Arabidopsis thaliana: one gene and its partners. The protein of the gene in region 1 interacts with the protein of each later gene in a pairwise test. Each region holds a gene or a part of one and is shown on either strand. Other genes may lie near its edges. The genes, in order: CHAL, FUT13, PIP2B and AT5G63710.

The links.
Region 2: the proteins of CHAL (region 1) and FUT13 interact in a protein complementation assay, tested with the Arabidopsis thaliana proteins (one large-scale study listed by BioGRID).
Region 3: the proteins of CHAL (region 1) and PIP2B interact in a protein complementation assay, tested with the Arabidopsis thaliana proteins (one large-scale study listed by BioGRID).
Region 4: the proteins of CHAL (region 1) and AT5G63710 interact in a protein complementation assay, tested with the Arabidopsis thaliana proteins (one large-scale study listed by BioGRID).

The regions. Positions count from the first base shown.
Region 1 is NC_003071.7:12,939,906-12,944,294, forward strand, and holds CHAL (allergen-like protein), read right to left. Parts: upstream 2,505-4,389; 5' UTR 2,285-2,504; coding exon of another isoform or gene 2,263-2,284; coding exon 2,085-2,262; intron 1,950-2,084; coding exon 1,857-1,949; intron 1,547-1,856; coding exon 1,371-1,546; intron 918-1,370; coding exon 672-917; 3' UTR 550-671; downstream 1-549. UniProt on the Arabidopsis thaliana protein: Acts primarily as positive regulator of inflorescence growth. Endodermal expression is sufficient for proper inflorescence architecture. Redundantly involved with EPFL4 in procambial development regulation.
Region 2 is NC_003070.9:27,098,371-27,102,850, forward strand, and holds FUT13 (fucosyltransferase 13), read left to right. Parts: upstream 1-1,839; 5' UTR 1,840-1,974; coding exon 1,975-2,439; intron 2,440-2,903; coding exon 2,904-3,077; intron 3,078-3,160; coding exon 3,161-3,727; 3' UTR 3,728-3,922; downstream 3,923-4,480. Other genes in the region: AT1G71980 (Protease-associated (PA) RING/U-box zinc finger family protein), read left to right, coding at 113-343, 416-820, 922-1,511. UniProt on the Arabidopsis thaliana protein: May be involved in cell wall synthesis. Catalyzes alpha-1,4 glycosidic linkages and generates Lewis-a epitopes.
Region 3 is NC_003071.7:15,612,850-15,616,943, reverse strand, and holds PIP2B (plasma membrane intrinsic protein 2), read left to right. Parts: upstream 1-1,921; 5' UTR 1,922-2,023; coding exon 2,024-2,453; intron 2,454-2,574; coding exon 2,575-2,870; intron 2,871-2,961; coding exon 2,962-3,102; intron 3,103-3,200; coding exon 3,201-3,320; 3' UTR 3,321-3,576; downstream 3,577-4,094.
Region 4 is NC_003076.8:25,497,605-25,503,342, forward strand, and holds AT5G63710 (Leucine-rich repeat protein kinase family protein), read left to right. Parts: upstream 1-1,906; 5' UTR 1,907-2,299; coding exon 2,300-2,315; intron 2,316-2,328; exon of another isoform or gene 2,329-2,419; coding exon 2,420-2,566; intron 2,567-2,644; coding exon 2,645-2,774; intron 2,775-2,860; coding exon 2,861-2,932; intron 2,933-3,008; coding exon 3,009-3,152; intron 3,153-3,246; coding exon 3,247-3,312; intron 3,313-3,401; coding exon 3,402-3,472; intron 3,473-3,544; coding exon 3,545-3,688; intron 3,689-3,776; coding exon 3,777-4,118; intron 4,119-4,195; coding exon 4,196-4,590; intron 4,591-4,673; coding exon 4,674-4,994; 3' UTR 4,995-5,227; downstream 5,228-5,738. Other genes in the region: AT5G63700 (zinc ion binding / DNA binding protein), read right to left, coding at 1-28.

The DNA of each region.
Region 1 (4,389 bases):
GAAGAATCAGTCAGTCAATGACTGCGACTTTAAAGAAAAAAAATGACCGCGAGTCTGCGACTTTAAATCCTTCAAACTTTTATATATGGGCTATGTGTGAGTGGTGTAAGGTGTATTTGGATACGTAATACGTTATACGTTAGCATATGTTTTCTTGAATATTATCAGTGTGTACGAATAGATTAAATTGAACGAGCTGAGACTACAGAATTTAAATGAAATCAACGAGTCCCGCAGACAGATGTTAATAGTTTACTTATATGTATATGCTAAGAGTAATGTTATTGGGCTTTTGGTTTATTTATGTTAGTCCATATGTTTATGAGCCTAAACCTATGTGATACTTATTAGAAAGCGAGTACGTTTTTTTATTTTTTGTTCATTATAAGCAAGTACGTTGAAGAAGAAGACAAGAAATATGTTTCCTTTTGACACCAAATGTTGATATTATTCATGAATTATGTCACCATATACGAAATCATATGCTAAGAACGTCATATCGTCTATACGAGCATCATCAATCAATTTATCAGCAAAAGTTTCACGTTGAGGTTGTCCTAGCAACATGTCAATGTATAATAAATATTTGGAGTAGAGGCAAGATATAACTACGAACATGCATATAATTCATATATATAATGTATATATGTGAGTATATATATTATAAAAGATCATGGCATGTACAACTTGTTGCCGCACTTGCATCTCCAAGCTTCCGGGTAGTATTCGGCGGTGACAGGCGTGCCGGGAGGCACCGGAACGTGAACAGGCTTGCACGGAGTGCATCTTCCACACTTGGAGGAGCACCGTGGTGGAGATGAGCCCAATCCCCTTAGAATCCTCCGTAGCTCTGCCTCCTTGCTCCGGTCACCGATCTTCCTAGTCTTCTTTATCACTACGGTACTCTTGCCTTCCTCCTGAACACATACTCAAAACGTACATATTATCACATTTTTCATTACTAAATATATATTCAAACGTATACATATCCTAATTTATTATTTTCTTCATTAGGATAATACATCTAGTAAAACAAACCAAACAATATGGTTAATCAAGAATAATTAGTATTTTCTAATTAACGTTCAATAATTAGTATCTTCTAGTGAACTCAATTTCAGCTGCTATCAACATAAGATAGTGAGAGGACTGCGTTACTAACGTGCGATTTCATGCTGACATACGCATATTATTGTTAAAATGCGCAGTTTAGGTAAAAAACATTTTTAAGACAGGGTTGGGGATGTGAGACAAGACGCGGGAAAACCGCTCCGGAAAAAGCGCTACGCACATTACCAAAAAGGGCAGAGAGATTGAGAAGTTCCAAGAGCCTGTCATACGTTAACGTGCACCGTGGGGGCTAATATTACCACTCGATCGAGATCGTAAGCAAGGCAGGGTCCCACGAGTGGTGAACGAACCAAAAGTTGAGTACTGTCCTTGTCCTCGTGTGCGCTGAAACCAATCCGACGGCTGAGAATTTCTTTAGGAGTACATGGCATCTCTGCATGCCCAGTCAGTCTCGACATGCCGTCACAGTCGCTGACTGTTCAAGCGCAGTTTAGCCACAACCCTTTTGTTTGTGTAGTCCTTTTAGAGAACCCCGCATTATAAGCTTATATTATTTATGGAAAAAAAAAAAAAAGCTTATATTATTTTTAAAGTGTGTTTAATGATGAATCAACATCAATCTTGTCCTCCAAAGATGCTTGAATCAGGAGAAAATAGAAACTAAGCTTTTTTTGGATTTTATGTGGTTATAGTTATGCCAAAAAAAAGGAAGTTAACACGGTTTTTGATTCCTATTTCCTAACTAATTGTTGACTCAACAGCAAAAAAACAAAAACAATTGTTACTTGTTAGATCACGCAAGAGAGTAAGAGGTATAAACAGTTTACGAACCTTTGCATAGAAGTTCCCTAGTGTCCCAGAGTTAGAATTCCTATTATCTGCATTTTTACAACAAGATAATATATGAATGGTACTGTAATAATTTATGTTACGTAACCAAAAATATTCTAAGATATTAATGTTTGAGAAAGTTGATAATTAATATGATAACGAGAAAAAGAAAGATGGCTTACATGGAGAAGAAGTCGAAGTGGGAGTTATAGTGAAGGTGGCAATGACACAGAGGACGAAGAAGAGTAGCAATAAATAGAAGAGACTGAACTTGGCTCTCGTGTTTTCTGATGGTTGTAATGATGATGGTAATGATGATGATAATAATGATAATGATGATGATGTTCTCTCGAAACCCATAATTACGAAACTTTCTGAAAACCTAAGAAGAGGCTAGCAGAGATTAGTTATGATCTCCTCATCCATGCGAAAAAAAAAACTTGGTGGGTTTTTAAAAAACTTGAGATGAAAATGGAAATCAAGAAAAGATTATTGAAAAGGAATATTGAATGTCTTTTGGTTTTTATGATTTGGGTTTTCTCAAAAAACGAGAGTGAGTAGTGGGAGTGGTTGAGAGTGAGAAAGAGCAAATGGAGTCGACTATGAGAGATAGAACAAGGAGGGGTTAACTGCAAAAATGTGTGATTAAATATGGAAATTTATATATAAAAGGATAATAAGAAAAGAAATAAGAAGATAAAATAGTATATGAGTGGGAAATGAGAGAAAGAGTGTAAGAAGAGAGAAGTAATTAAGAAAGGTACCTAAGCATTGCTAAGTTTGGGAGTTAGATTCTCCTGCACCCTATTCTCTCTGTCATTGTACCCTTCCTTTCACCAGAAATTGCTTTTAGCAATCTTCCAAGCTATACATATATATACACATACACACTCATATGTTTATCTATTGTATATTTTATATGTAGTTATATTTCTTGATTAAGTTCTTTCATATGCATGTGTGTAGGGTTTAACATATCATAAGTACTCAAGATTAGGGTTTCACTTAGTTTATTATTATTGTTGGGGGGGGGGGGGGGGAAATGACTGCTTGGTAGAAACTTAAAAAAAAAAATCATAATTAAGGTAGAGAGATGAGAGGTGATTGATTTGAAGAGAGATGAGTAAGGGAGGGCCGTAGGATGATATATGAGTTTGATTCTAAAGGCAAGGAGGTATGGACAAAACATCCCAACAAATGTGTAAGAAGGGTTCCATGTTCATTCCTAAATTACACATTTATATATGTAGTTTTAACAATAACTTTTTACTCCTATCAATTCAAGCAAAGGTTATATACTAAAGATTCTTAATAGTATAAATAGAAAAAACAATAACTGTTGAAACGGTACTAAATATATATATAAAAATGGCAAACAAGTTGCAGTATAAACTTTTAACAATGGGATTAGTAAATTCTTTTTTTTTTTTAATTCTAAAAGAAAGCTATTAGACAACAAAATATTTAATGATTTTAGCATGAAGCATGAGAGAAACTAATATTTTGGAAAAATTTATAGGTTATCAAATGTACATATATCAATGCTTCAAAATTTCTTGTTACGTTTGACAATACCATTTTTATGCGGTCTAGATTATGCAACAATATAATCATCCTAATACCAAATATTTTATTTTTATGTTGAATTGGTAATATTATATCTAGTGTTGGTAGAATACGTCTGATTACAACTATACAATTGAACGTTCGTGAGGACATAGTGAACCACAACTGAAAAAATTGTGTAAAATTAATGGTTCATATGATCATATCTAATATACTAGTTTTGTGATTGGTGGAGGGAAAGAAATCAAAGGTAACATGCCCAACAAAGCTGTCTCGCCTTAAGTTTCTATAAAACAAAATCTGAAAGTTTTTTTTTTGTTACAATTAACGGAGTTCAAAAAAAAAAAAAAAATAGAGCTCAAAATGTGACATAACCATTAGTCCATTAGAAAGAAACTTAAGATGAAGAGAAGTAATATAAAATGTTAAACAAAATCCCATATGTTCTTTACATATATATAGGTTTTTGATTTACATTTTATATTCTTAAACTATAATTTTGTTATAACTAAAGGCTATGTCTCTTAAAATTATTTCTTTGATCATGTGTCGAGAAATATTAATTCTGACGTGGGTTTAGAAGCTTTTTTGTACATTTAAGATTGTGTGATATTAGATCGGACAATATCAATTTTTTTTTGTTTTATTTTTCTTGATTAAGTTATTTGGAAACCCCAAAACATAGCTGATAGCCTTGAAAGAAAGCGAAATTTCCATTGTTGATTGATCACTTAAACATAACCATCAATTTAAAATCTATATAAAAAAGAATCACTATATTCAACCGTAATAGCCTTAGTAAAGGGGTCATTCTTTCGGATTAACATCGATTTTTGGTTGTTTTTTCCCTTTATCTCCACCAACATAAACCGTCGCTGATGAAGACTCTTCAAGCAACATTTTTTTTTCAAATTAAAAACA
Region 2 (4,480 bases), on another chromosome or scaffold:
GTGAGTCTCTTCCTTATCACTCTGTTTTCATTTCAGATTTTTGATGAATTGAATCTGTAATTGGGGTCAACGCATAAAAAAGAAGAGATTTTTAATCTGTTTCTTGCAACAGCTCCGTCAGTGAAGGGTACAGGTGAAATTGGAGTGGTTTATGTGGCTGAGCCTCTTGACGCTTGTCAAAATCTTATGAATAAACCAGAACAGAGCTCCAATGAAACTTCTCCTTTTGTGTTGATTGTTAGAGGAGGCTGTAGTTTTGAAGAGAAAGTTAGAAAAGCTCAGAGAGCTGGTTTCAAAGCTGCTATTATCTATGACAATGAAGACCGTGGAACATTGATAGCAAGTATGAAAATTTATGTCTTGATCTTGTGATTCTGTTGTTTCTACATTTTGCTGAAAGTTTTGAGATTTGCAGTGGCAGGTAACTCTGGAGGTATAAGGATTCATGCGGTCTTTGTTACGAAAGAAACGGGAGAAGTTTTAAAGGAGTATGCGGGTTTCCCCGATACGAAAGTTTGGTTGATCCCAAGTTTTGAGAACTCGGCGTGGTCTATTATGGCGGTTTCGTTTATCTCGCTGCTTGCAATGTCGGCTGTTCTCGCTACTTGTTTCTTTGTGCGTAGGCATCGAATAAGAAGGCGGACATCTCGGTCCTCTCGAGTGCGTGAGTTTCACGGTATGAGCCGCCGCTTGGTGAAAGCAATGCCGAGTCTTATATTCAGTTCGTTTCATGAAGATAACACTACTGCATTCACTTGTGCTATTTGCCTTGAAGACTACACTGTTGGAGACAAGCTCAGGCTCTTACCTTGCTGTCACAGTGAGTACATTGTATACAAAATCCTGTAACTCAGGGCACATTTGTTAGAACTTAGAACTAACTAACAATTTCTGATTCTGTTTTTGTGTGTATGTTTTCAGAGTTTCATGCTGCGTGTGTTGACTCATGGTTAACCTCTTGGAGAACTTTCTGTCCGGTGTGCAAACGAGATGCAAGAACGAGCACGGGAGAGCCTCCAGCTTCAGAGAGCACGCCATTGCTCTCATCTGCTGCATCGTCTTTCACTTCTTCCTCTCTGCACTCTTCAGTCAGATCATCTGCACTATTGATTGGTCCTTCCTTGGGCTCATTACCAACTTCAATCTCTTTCTCTCCCGCATACGCAAGCTCATCCTATATTAGACAATCATTCCAGTCTTCCTCTAACCGTCGATCACCTCCAATAAGCGTAAGTCGAAGCTCAGTGGATCTCAGACAACAAGCAGCTTCTCCATCTCCATCACCATCACAGAGATCATACATTTCCCATATGGCTTCTCCACAGTCACTAGGTTACCCAACTATCTCCCCTTTCAACACGAGGTACATGTCACCGTATAGACCTAGCCCGAGCAATGCATCACCTGCAATGGCTGGATCATCGAATTATCCGTTGAATCCACTGCGTTACAGTGAATCAGCTGGAACTTTCTCTCCATACGCCTCTGCAAACTCGCTTCCAGACTGTTAGAAAGTCTACAGAACCAACCACTCTTGGTTCAGGTCATATAAGATTATTTCTTTTGCATTTGAGTTTTACTACGAAACGTACTTCTGGCGTTTGTGTGTGGTGTGTGTGTGTGTAACGATGCTTTTATAGTCTTTTGGTTGAGATGAAACATCATCGGATTTAGGTTAGAGAGATTTTAACACTTCGACAATTACACAAACTCGGTTCCTTTGTACAAAGAAATATGAGCTTATGTATATACACGTCTCTTTCCTTGTTATTACTATCTGATCACTCTTATCTCTATCCGTTTGCATTGATACGATCCTATCTAGTAAATAGGCCCAGTAGGCCTAATTAAGGTCCAGTAACATAAACTGATTTGGGCTAAAGTGAATGAAGAAAACTCCATCCCACCGTTGGCCGGTCTATTCTCCTCCGGCGTCGTTGAGGATCTCCGGTGGTTTAAGGAATCAATCACACCATGCCAATGAGATACCTCAACGCAATGGCCGCTCTACTAATGATGTTCTTTACTCTCTTGATCCTCTCTTTCACAGGCATTTTAGAATTCCCATCTGCTTCAACTTCGATGGAGCATTCAATAGACCCGGAACCGAAATTGTCTGATTCAACATCGGATCCATTCAGTGATGTTCTTGTAGCTTATAAAAAATGGGACTTTGAAGTGGGTTGTGCTCGGTTTAGGGAGAATCATAAAGATGCGATTTTGGGTAATGTTAGTTCGGGTTCTTTACAAGAATTTGGTTGTGGTAAGCTTAAGATGAAGCATGTTAAGGTATTGGTTAAAGGGTGGACTTGGATTCCGGATAATTTGGAAAATTTGTATTCTTGTCGTTGTGGGATGACTTGTTTGTGGACTAAATCATCGGTTTTGGCTGATTCACCTGATGCTTTGTTGTTCGAGACAACAACTCCTCCACTACAGGTAATAAAATTGCTTGTTGCTAATCTTGTCAAAGTTTGCGTTTTGGAAAGTAGTTATAGATTTGGATGATTGGGACAGATTAGATCACACTGTCTGTTTTTTCTTACCCCAAATTGGATGTGATCTTGTGATGTATTCTTCACTCTAGCAGATCTTTTAGTTCTATGACTCACTAAAAGATACTTTTTCATTGTTGTCTATATGGTTCAAGAATTTTGGTTTGTAAAGTGGAAAATTTCAGAGTTTAATTGTCTACGTGAGCTTATTGTAAACCAGAAGAATCTTTGTGTACTGCTATTCTTGTTCTTAGTCAATTCATTTTTGAAAGTTGGACATAGATATGGATAATAAAGGCAAACTAAAATCTCCTATGTTCTTATTTTCCCTTCAGTGCCTGCTTCACTATAGTTTTCTTTCAATAATTGGATCCCATTGATGCTGAGTTTCTTGGTTTGTTTCCTTAGAGACGTGTTGGAGATCCGCTCCGTGTGTACATGGAGCTAGAGGCCGGAAGAAAACGCTCAGGCCGTGAAGATATATTCATCAGCTACCATGCGAAAGACGATGTCCAAACAACTTACGCCGGTTCGCTCTTTCATAATAACAGAAACTATCACATCTCTCCACATAAAAACAATGTAAGTAACGTTTTATACACCCATTCCATACTGTTCTTCTTTCATTTCATCGTTTTTTAATTCGATTGTTAAACATTGCACAGGATGTTCTGGTGTATTGGTCTTCCTCAAGATGCCTCCCTCACAGAGATCGTCTAGCAAAGAGCCTACTCGATTTGATTCCCCACCACTCCTTTGGTAAGTGTCTTAACAATGTTGGTGGCTTGGACTCAGCTCTCTCTATGTATCCAGAATGTGTCGCTGAGCACAACGCTGAAGCAAAATGGTACGATCACCTCCACTGCGCTATGTCACACTACAAATTCGTCCTTGCAATCGAAAACACAGCTGTTGAGTCATACGTGACCGAGAAGCTTTTCTATGCGCTCGACTCTGGTTCTGTTCCAATCTATTTTGGGGCCTCTAACGTGCAAGACTTTGTCCCTCCGCATTCCGTGATCGATGGTAGCAAATTCGGCTCGATGCAGGAGTTGGCTGCGTACGTGAAGCGGCTCGGTGATGATCCTGTGGCTTACTCAGAGTACCATGCGTGGAGGCGGTGTGGACTAATGGGGAACTACGGGAAAACCCGTGCGGTGAGTCTCGATACATTGCCATGTCGGTTGTGCGAAGAGATTAGCAGAAGAGGTGGGAAGAACGCCGGAGTTTGATGAGCCACATGTGGTTTCATTTAGTGTGGGTTTATGTAAATGTGATCCTATGATCTGTTTCTGTTACATATGATAACTTTTTTGTCCTATATAGTCTCAGATCATCAAGTAAATGCTATCAAATCATGTGTTCAAGGGACAAAAACAGAATTATTCACTTATGTTAGAGTTAAATGGGATCTCTTGGTGTAGCTTTTCCTTAATCAAAAATTCAAAATAGATTATGATTGTGATTGTGTAGACTAAGTTAAAAAGGACAAAAATCAAGTCATAACCACTTTCCTATATTTACCTACAATAATCAGAATCATTTAAAACTTATCAAAACTAAAACCATTCAAAATATTGGGTGAATTAAAGTTTCGATTGTTTCAAAACGTCTGTATAAGTATGACAAAGAGACATCAAAATTCAGATTATTGTCACATTTTTATCACCGTAAAATCTTAGAAGAAAGAAAGATAATTTTTTTTTTTTTTTTTTAATGATAATCAAAGATATTATGTTAGTAGTAAAATAGAGAATGGAAAAAATAAATTAATTACATAGACAAACGTGTAGGTCATAAAATCATTTGGTACATCAAATTCATACATGGGTCTTCTGGTATTATCTATTAACAGCTTTAGGAAAGAAATATGAGATCAGATTTTTAGGCTAATCAAACAAAATTTTCTATAAAACCATCATATACATAACAAATATGCACAAGAAGTGCATAAGAAGAAAGAAATCAAACAGAAATGCAAACAA
Region 3 (4,094 bases), 2.7 Mb from region 1:
ATGAAATGGTATTTTAGGTCATTTTGTATAATAAGTTAAATAACGCATAAATACGTAATTTATTTGAGACTTAACTTTTTCGGTGTAAGCTGAGTGTTAAATCTGTCATAGGACACTACAATCAAATTATAACTCTATATATACTCCATCGACTATATATTGACTCAACATATCATGATAGAATTACATATGAGTCAGATGTAATTTTATGATCTGTTATTGTGGATTCATTGTTAGCAAGCATATATATACGTGTGTTCAGAAGACTAAAAAATTTACTATGAAATGAAAGAACATTTATTTGTTTGGAACAAAAAATGTTTATCATAACAAATTAACCCATTTTTCCACAGAGAACAATACCATTCGTAACCAATATCGAGTAGACAATTCTTTAACAAAACAGAAAGCGACAAAGATGAAAGAAAACAAAAATAAAACCAGGGGAGAGACCGAGAGAGAGAGAGCACCTTTCTGACGTGGAAATATAATCCAATAAGAGCAGAGAAATGTCGCTACAACGATAAGGATATTGTGACGTGGCAAAACATTGGCCATGAACACCACATTACACCACATTCCTTTTGTCTATGTACACTTTTTATTTTTCCAATTTATTTTTGTAGACAGACTAGTGATTAGTGAATACTGAATAATATACGTAAGAAAATTGCAATTGGAAATTTGGAATTGAGGAGTGAGAGCAAATGATTGTTGAATATGGGGACTAAACAACGTGGCATAAGAGGAGTGGTTGGGACGGCTGAACTGGAGTTGGACTTAATCTGTATGGACGGTGCCGATGCAATTGACGGAGCTAATCAATTCTATATGGGGCGGTTTCTCCGGTCCAGTGGACCCAACTTTCATCATATTTTCTACTTTAGTGGAAACATAACCCGTGAAGCGACGCCGTTTCTTTTATCATGTCCATGTGATAAATTATGTTTTTGTTATATGGTAGGGTTAGCTGAGAGCTATCAAAAGACTCTTTTTTATCCACCTAATAGATTTGATTTGTAACGTTAAGAGCATAGGAAGTCAATTTAATCGTTACTAATTACATGCATAAGAACTAGTATAACTATATAAGGAGCTCCTTCTAGAAATTAAATGAAGGATGATAGAATCTAGATAATCAGAAATTTTACTATTGATCAATCTAGCTATCTCGTAGTTCAAAAAGCTTTATCGTTAACAAGTAACAACTTTCAAGTATTGCCCAAATAGATAAGGTTCATAACTTCATATTTTTTATTTATTTTATGTGTAAAAGAGTGACAGTCTATATTATTCTAGGGGGAGGACAAGGCTCATGACATAGGACAAGAGAAAGAAAAATATAGAAGCATATAGTATATTAGGGTCGGTCCAAATGAAAACAACGTTTAGGTATGGGGCGGCGAGGCTAAGTTAAATTAACCACAAAACTCCATTATCAACCATAATTTTAGAATTAAAAGGTCTCTGTTCCTATTGATAGCTCCACAATCATTCTTTTAAATAATCAGAATCTCAAATAAGTTCATCTTTAGTTACAGATTTGTATCAATAGTTGAAGTTGAAACCAAAATAATAATAATTTAGTTATAGTTAATTTTGTCAACAAAACAATACCTTAACTATCATATTATGACAAACACTAATTGAGATGAAAAACTCTTAGCAGTAGCTAATTCTTACTATCATCAGTTAATTATACTAATGTATATGGAAATTCTGCTTAAACAAAAAAAAAACAGTGGAACATGAATATATTAAGCAAAATCAGTTTCTATTGATTATGTAGCAATGATTAGATTGGTTTAGATTATATATCATCATGACAGCTAGCTAGGTAATTAATTAGTGAAAGAAAGTTTCCACAAAAATAATCATAATCGTCATACACACAATTCTATATTCATTTCATTGAAACGAATAATAAAAACAACCATAAGCCTACCAAAAGGAAAACATTATCGTAATATAATCAATCAATAACACGTATACAATTATTAACGTATATTGACAAGCAAAATTAATGAGAGCACTCACTATAGCTATAGTCTCTCTATATAAACAACTTTCATTCGTCTCTTCAGTCTTCACAAACACAACATATCCACAATACAAAACACAACTTTCATATATAACAAAAAAAGTTATAGAAATGGCCAAAGACGTGGAAGGACCTGAGGGATTTCAGACAAGAGACTACGAAGATCCGCCACCAACTCCGTTTTTCGATGCGGACGAGCTTACCAAGTGGTCTTTATACAGAGCCGTCATTGCCGAGTTCGTAGCCACTCTCCTCTTCTTGTACATCACCGTTTTAACTGTCATCGGTTACAAGATTCAGTCCGACACAAAAGCCGGTGGAGTTGACTGCGGCGGCGTCGGAATCCTTGGCATCGCGTGGGCTTTTGGTGGCATGATCTTCATCCTTGTCTACTGCACCGCCGGTATCTCAGGTATCATATATCGAAACCGGTCCGGTTTATTACCCGGTTCAGAAAATTTAACATTTGTGGACCTTTCAAATTTGTCCTTTGTTTTGTAATTTATTTGAAATTAACCCCAAGAACTTTGTAGGTGGTCACATAAACCCTGCGGTGACGTTTGGTTTGTTCTTAGCCCGGAAGGTATCGCTGATTAGGGCGGTGCTTTACATGGTGGCTCAGTGTTTGGGTGCTATTTGTGGAGTTGGTTTCGTCAAAGCCTTTCAAAGCTCTTACTATGATCGTTACGGTGGAGGAGCCAACTCTCTAGCAGACGGCTACAACACAGGCACCGGACTAGCCGCAGAGATCATTGGAACATTCGTTCTCGTCTACACAGTCTTCTCCGCTACTGATCCCAAACGTAACGCTAGAGACTCCCACGTTCCGGTTAGTATTTATTTCTATCAGTTATAAGATCGTTCTGGTAACATACGATAACATTAATTAATACTTAGTGTTATGAATTATGAAACGAAAGGTTTTGGCGCCACTTCCGATTGGGTTTGCGGTGTTTATGGTACATTTGGCCACTATTCCGATCACCGGAACCGGCATCAACCCGGCTAGGAGTTTCGGAGCTGCCGTAATCTATAACAAGAGCAAGCCATGGGATGACCACGTACGTTTCTATTTCTTAATTATTTAAAATTAATCAAATTATGGACTATTGTTTGATGGGAAAATAATGAACTGTTTTTTTGGTCTATCTAAATACAGTGGATATTCTGGGTGGGACCATTCATTGGAGCTGCGATAGCTGCATTTTATCACCAATTTGTCCTAAGGGCTTCAGGTTCCAAGTCACTTGGATCCTTCAGAAGTGCAGCCAACGTTTGAGTTTTTGCCACACAAAAAAAAACCTATCATAATAACAACAATTACAAAATGGTTGTGTTATTATGTATGTACAAAAATTGGCAACTTTGCTTGTAAAACTATGCACTATATTTCTTCTTGTTTTTCTGTTTTCATTGTGGTGTAATACTTTGATATGTGCCAATGCCAATGTTTGTGTACTCGGGAAAACAATTAATGAAAACCAAATTGTTTTGCCTTCTCCTCCCTCTTTTTATTTTATACAGATGATATTACCAGCTAAAAGCATATCTACATAGACTACATTAATAGTTATAATTTATAAGTTCATGTGATTTAAATTATCCTCCACTGAAGAGGATTAAGACAGAACAAAAACTTATGTGTTTGGCACTTTTTTGTCAGCTTGTCGCCATCACCTAATTAAACAACAACTAAAGCACAAGTCAATTGGTAAGATCGTCTCAAATTCAATTAATCTACACCAAAAACGAATTTTGTTGAACACTTAGTTTTGAGTTGACATTCCACTCACTAGTTTAAGCTCATAGAATTTGTAACGAGAGCTTACGCAGGAAAGCTGTTGGTTCAACAACTAATTTGCGTCACTTTACTTAAAGTATACAAACGTCATTTTCAGAAATAACAATATCAAGAAGAGCGTGAACAAAATATTAAAAACCTATAGATGGTCATACAGACAAAAACTTCGAAATTTCTTTAATCCAATGTAGATTATCCAAAAAATGTGCCTCAAGACCAAAATCAGGGTTTTACATAAATCGAAACAATAAT
Region 4 (5,738 bases), on another chromosome or scaffold:
TCTCCACTACATTCATATCTCTCGCCATCGCTCTCTCTCTCTCGATCCGATGTTACTTGGCGGTGACCTAGTTAGTGGCGACAGAGCAAGAAGAAGAAAAACTTATCTCTCTAATTCTGATATTAAGGCTGAAAATTAGCCAAATAAATAGCTGTTTGAGTGACCTGTGTCAGTATTACTAGATTCTTAAGGATTCGCTTTGACCAATCACCCAAACGCCAACCTCTACTTTCCTAAAGTCTCTATTATACCCCTATCGTATCCAGGACACGTGTCCATTAAACACAGTTTCATAGGGGTTATTTCGTAAATTGAATAAGTCTTGCGTTCAGATGGACCTTTTTTTTTTACTTAGCGATTGCGTTTTGTGACCGGGAAGTACAATGCTCGCAAGTACAAAAGATATCGAACCAAGTTTTGTCTTTACCTAAATTTTGGATTATAAGTGATATTTGTTGTTAAAATTAATTTACTAATTATAACATTTTTATGAACAAATCATTTACAAGTTATAAGATTTTAATAAGTAAGAAAAGTAATCTGGCATTTGGTTTCACAATGTTCAAATTTATCTTTCTTTCTTTTTTTTTTGCTCTGAAGGCTTTTTTCTCACTTACCTAAGTTCATTTTTTCCTGATAAAAATAGAAAATAAATTTGAGTTTGTTTTATTTGTGAATGTTGATGAAATTTAACTTTTGAAATATACGTTCTAGATTGAGATATGATCATCAGATCTTTTTGCAGATCGAACAAAAGTCTCAATAAGGTGAAGAATCGTATGACAACATATAAAGGGAGGAGCATAAGAACATGTCCAACTAATCAAGCATATTAGTATTGATATCATTATTCCGTATATATTCTTAGTCTCTTCTTCCTCACATTATGTTCTCTTTCTCTTTTCTTCACCTAATTTTCCTATTAAAAATATCTATCTTTTTTTCTCTTCTGCCTACATTTCTACATGATGTTTCAACATAGCTCTTAAGGGAAATAACCTAAAGTTTTCTAAACATTGATGTTTTACTACGTCTTTTTTGAAAGGCGGTAACTAAATTTGTTTTTTTTTTTGTTTTTTAAAAGGATATCAAAAGATCAATTACTTACCTTATAAATGTTAAAAATGTAAACTTCTCAATGTTTGAATTTATTTACTCAAAAACAGATAGTTAAATATATATATATATATATATAGTTATAGGTTATGTTAAAACTATTTTAGTTTGTATCATATCCTTTGATTTGAAGGTCAGAGAAGAAAGGAATATATACAAAAACGCCCTTTTGCATTGTCATCGTCCAGAATAGTGGAGTAATATAACACGAACAAGTGGAAGTGTGGAACCTTCTTACACATGCTTCTGTCTCTTCCTAAAGCATAAGCCATTTTCCCAAACATTATTAAGTTCTTAATTAAGTCATTGGTTTGTTTTCTATTACTAATTCGTTTAAATCATTCTTTATTACTTTATGTTTATTTTGGGCCATCTATATCCTTTTTTGTTAAAATTGATATCCTTTTTAGCCCCAATCACATCCCAAGTTACACACTTGCAAAAGAGATCTCACCCAAAATAAAGAAGCAAAAGAAGATGGAAAAATACACCTCCATTAAGAAATCAAAGATGTTTCAACTTAGTGGGATTCTCTTTCTCTCAAAGCAGCATTTCTTCATCTTCTTTTTACATCATAGAGATAAAAATATGAAAAATACCTTTTGTGGGTCCTTTATAAGCACTAACTTCTCTTTCTTTAGATGATTTTACATTATTGTTGCTTTTATTGGCTTCATTATTATACAAATCCTCCATTTCTCTCTTCAACCCCATGTTTTCGTTCTCTTCCGTTTAGAGTGTTTTCAGCTCCTCTATGGCTCACTCGGGTATTTAAAAGCTTTGTTTTACTTATACTTTAATGCCTATCTTTCTCCATTGTATATTAATTAGGTTTCTTGGTTTTTGTTGTTTATTTTACATAACTTTATTGTTTCTTTTAGTTTCGAGTTACAAAATATTTGGTACATATTTAGGTGAAACGGAGAGGTTTTTGATCATCAAAGCAAAGAGTCAAAGACAGAATTATAAATTTTGTTGTTCTTGATACTTATAAGCTTTCATTTTTCTTAATGTTTTCGGTTCAAATGAGCTCTGATAGAGGAGTTATGGATTGATCTGACAATGTTTCACATCAGAAAGCAATCAAAGCTGTTAGTTTTTAAGACATAATTAGACCCACAAATCGGTCTTTTCTTTTCTTTGCTTTCTTATGTTTAGTTAACATAGTTTGATCACACAAGTTATGTGTTTCTTGTATAGTAAGTTAACTTTCTCCATCGATTTGCTGCAATTTAGACTATAGATTCTGCAGCAGAAAAGAAAAGCTGTTTAAACTGAGATTGACTGATTTAATAAACTGCAGGGAACGGTGAAAGTTTCCATGATCCTCTTCGAGGATTCATTCAAAGAAATTGCTTTAGATGGAACAATCAGAAATTGATCTTACAATGTTTCATGGCCTTAGCTTTTGTGGGAATCACTTCGTCAACAACTCAACCAGATATCGAAGGTCTATATATAATTAGCCTTTGTTTATAAATCATTAATGATCTTGTAGTATTAACTCGCTTCTTGATTCATTTGCTAGGAGGAGCTCTGTTGCAGCTCAGAGATTCGCTTAATGATTCGAGCAATCGTCTAAAATGGACACGCGATTTTGTGAGCCCTTGCTATAGTTGGTCTTATGTTACCTGCAGAGGCCAGAGTGTTGTGGCTCTGTAAGTACTCTTAAAGATCACTTCTCAAGTTTTAGTTACCAAGATTTCTCATCATGTTGAAAAACTTGTTTTGTATCAATCTGTAGAAATCTTGCCTCGAGTGGATTCACAGGAACACTCTCTCCAGCTATTACAAAACTGAAGTTCTTGGTTACCTTGTAAGAGATCATAAACCAATTCCATTACAAGTTTCTTTTTAGGTTCCATTACTCATAGTAATTGTTCTTGATGCAGAGAGTTACAGAACAATAGTTTATCTGGTGCCTTACCAGATTCTCTTGGGAACATGGTTAATCTACAGACTTTAAACCTATCAGTGAATAGTTTCAGCGGATCGATACCAGCGAGCTGGAGTCAGCTCTCGAATCTAAAGCACTTGTAAGTCCACTCAAAAACTCTTTAGGAACAATCTTTGAAATGTGACTCTGTGAGAGCGTTTGGCTAAGATAAAACATTGAAATTTAATTCACAGGGATCTCTCATCCAATAATTTAACAGGAAGCATCCCAACACAATTCTTCTCAATCCCAACATTCGAGTAAAAAAAACTATTTTCCTCATGAATCTACCTAATTAGTCACAGTGACTTGTCAGTACTATAATCACGTTTTTGTGATTTTTCTGCAGTTTTTCAGGAACTCAGCTTATATGCGGTAAAAGTTTGAATCAGCCTTGTTCTTCAAGTTCTCGTCTTCCAGGTTCTTAATTATTTCTTCTTTCTCCAATTCACATACAAACAGAAAGACTTAACTTAGTATCTTTATGTTCAGTCACATCCTCCAAGAAAAAGCTGAGAGACATTACTTTGACTGCAAGTTGTGTTGCTTCTATAATCTTATTCCTTGGAGCAATGGTTATGTATCATCACCATCGCGTCCGCAGAACCAAATACGACATCTTTTTTGATGTAGCTGGTAAGAAGTTACATATACTTATAGTCAAACATCTCATTAGATCAATATGAACTCTTGAGCCAATATCCTTTTTCCTTAAAAAATGCAGGGGAAGATGACAGGAAGATTTCCTTTGGACAACTAAAACGATTCTCTTTACGTGAAATCCAGCTCGCAACAGATAGTTTCAACGAGAGCAATTTGATAGGACAAGGAGGATTTGGTAAAGTATACAGAGGTTTGCTTCCAGACAAAACAAAAGTTGCAGTGAAACGCCTTGCGGATTACTTCAGTCCTGGAGGAGAAGCTGCTTTCCAAAGAGAGATTCAGCTCATAAGCGTTGCGGTTCATAAAAATCTCTTACGCCTTATTGGCTTCTGCACAACTTCCTCTGAGAGAATCCTTGTTTATCCATACATGGAAAATCTTAGTGTTGCATATCGACTAAGAGGTATATATACTTAGCTTCTCTATCACTTAACCAAATAATAGATTCTATAATGTGTGTGTACATATGTGACATTGTAGATTTGAAAGCGGGAGAGGAAGGATTAGACTGGCCAACAAGGAAGCGTGTAGCTTTTGGTTCAGCTCACGGTTTAGAGTATCTACACGAACATTGTAACCCGAAGATCATACACCGCGATCTCAAGGCTGCAAACATACTTTTAGACAACAATTTTGAGCCAGTTCTTGGAGATTTCGGTTTAGCTAAGCTTGTGGACACATCTCTGACTCATGTCACAACTCAAGTCCGAGGCACAATGGGTCACATTGCGCCAGAGTATCTCTGCACAGGAAAATCATCTGAAAAAACCGATGTTTTTGGTTACGGTATAACGCTTCTTGAGCTTGTTACTGGTCAGCGCGCAATCGATTTTTCACGCTTGGAAGAAGAGGAAAATATTCTCTTGCTTGATCATGTAAGATTGACTTCTTTTACATGCTTTCTTCTATCTGAAAAGACTTGAAACTAATCTTAAGTTGTTGGATGTGTATGAAACAGATAAAGAAGTTGCTTAGAGAACAGAGACTTAGAGACATTGTTGATAGCAATTTGACTACATATGACTCCAAAGAAGTTGAAACAATCGTTCAAGTGGCTCTTCTCTGCACACAAGGCTCACCAGAAGATAGACCAGCGATGTCTGAAGTGGTCAAAATGCTTCAAGGGACTGGTGGTTTGGCTGAGAAATGGACTGAATGGGAACAACTTGAAGAAGTTAGGAACAAAGAAGCATTGTTGCTTCCGACTTTACCGGCTACTTGGGATGAAGAAGAAACCACCGTTGATCAAGAATCTATCCGATTATCGACAGCAAGATGAAGAAGAAACAGAGAGAGAAAGATATCTATGAAAACAAACTTGCATTACAGAAGATAAACTTAGAAAGTATTTTAAGCTGCTAATTGTATTGAACCAGGTGGGGAAAACGAAGCAAACACACAACGTTGATTTGTGTAATAGATGATATGATATACATAACTAGTTGTGTTTTGTATATATATGAATTTGGTTATTTTCGTATGATAATGATGATCATGGTTGTTATGGTGGCAGTGTTTGCTCTGTTTTTCTACATACGTCGTCGTTTCGTGTGTGTCCCGTAAAAATTATAAACTTCTGAATCCAGTCCTTGAAGTTTAGTTGGTTTTTCAATTTTACCTTCAACTTTTGTATTCTAACAATTTACCCCACTTGTGACATTGTTTATGGCTAATTTTACGTCGAGTATTCTTGTTTTTTTCTGCACGTCGAGTATTCTTGTTTCTAGATTGTAAATGATGTACTATCAAGAAAACTAATTGTCCAGTCTATGTATCTCATGAAATTATTAGACTAGTGATTTATTGGAAGGGATGATACAGTGACAGAACAAAACAAATCTAGATGTTTTTGTTGTAGTGACATGGATTCAGAGTGTAGATTCATAAGAACAGAACTTTCATGGATTAAGATTTATTCTTAAACTCTAGATCCTCTGGTATTAAAATACAGATTGTTAATTTTGGTGTTGTGTACTTTGGGTGCGTTAAATGAAGGATGAGGCAAGGAATGGGACCGGAGACA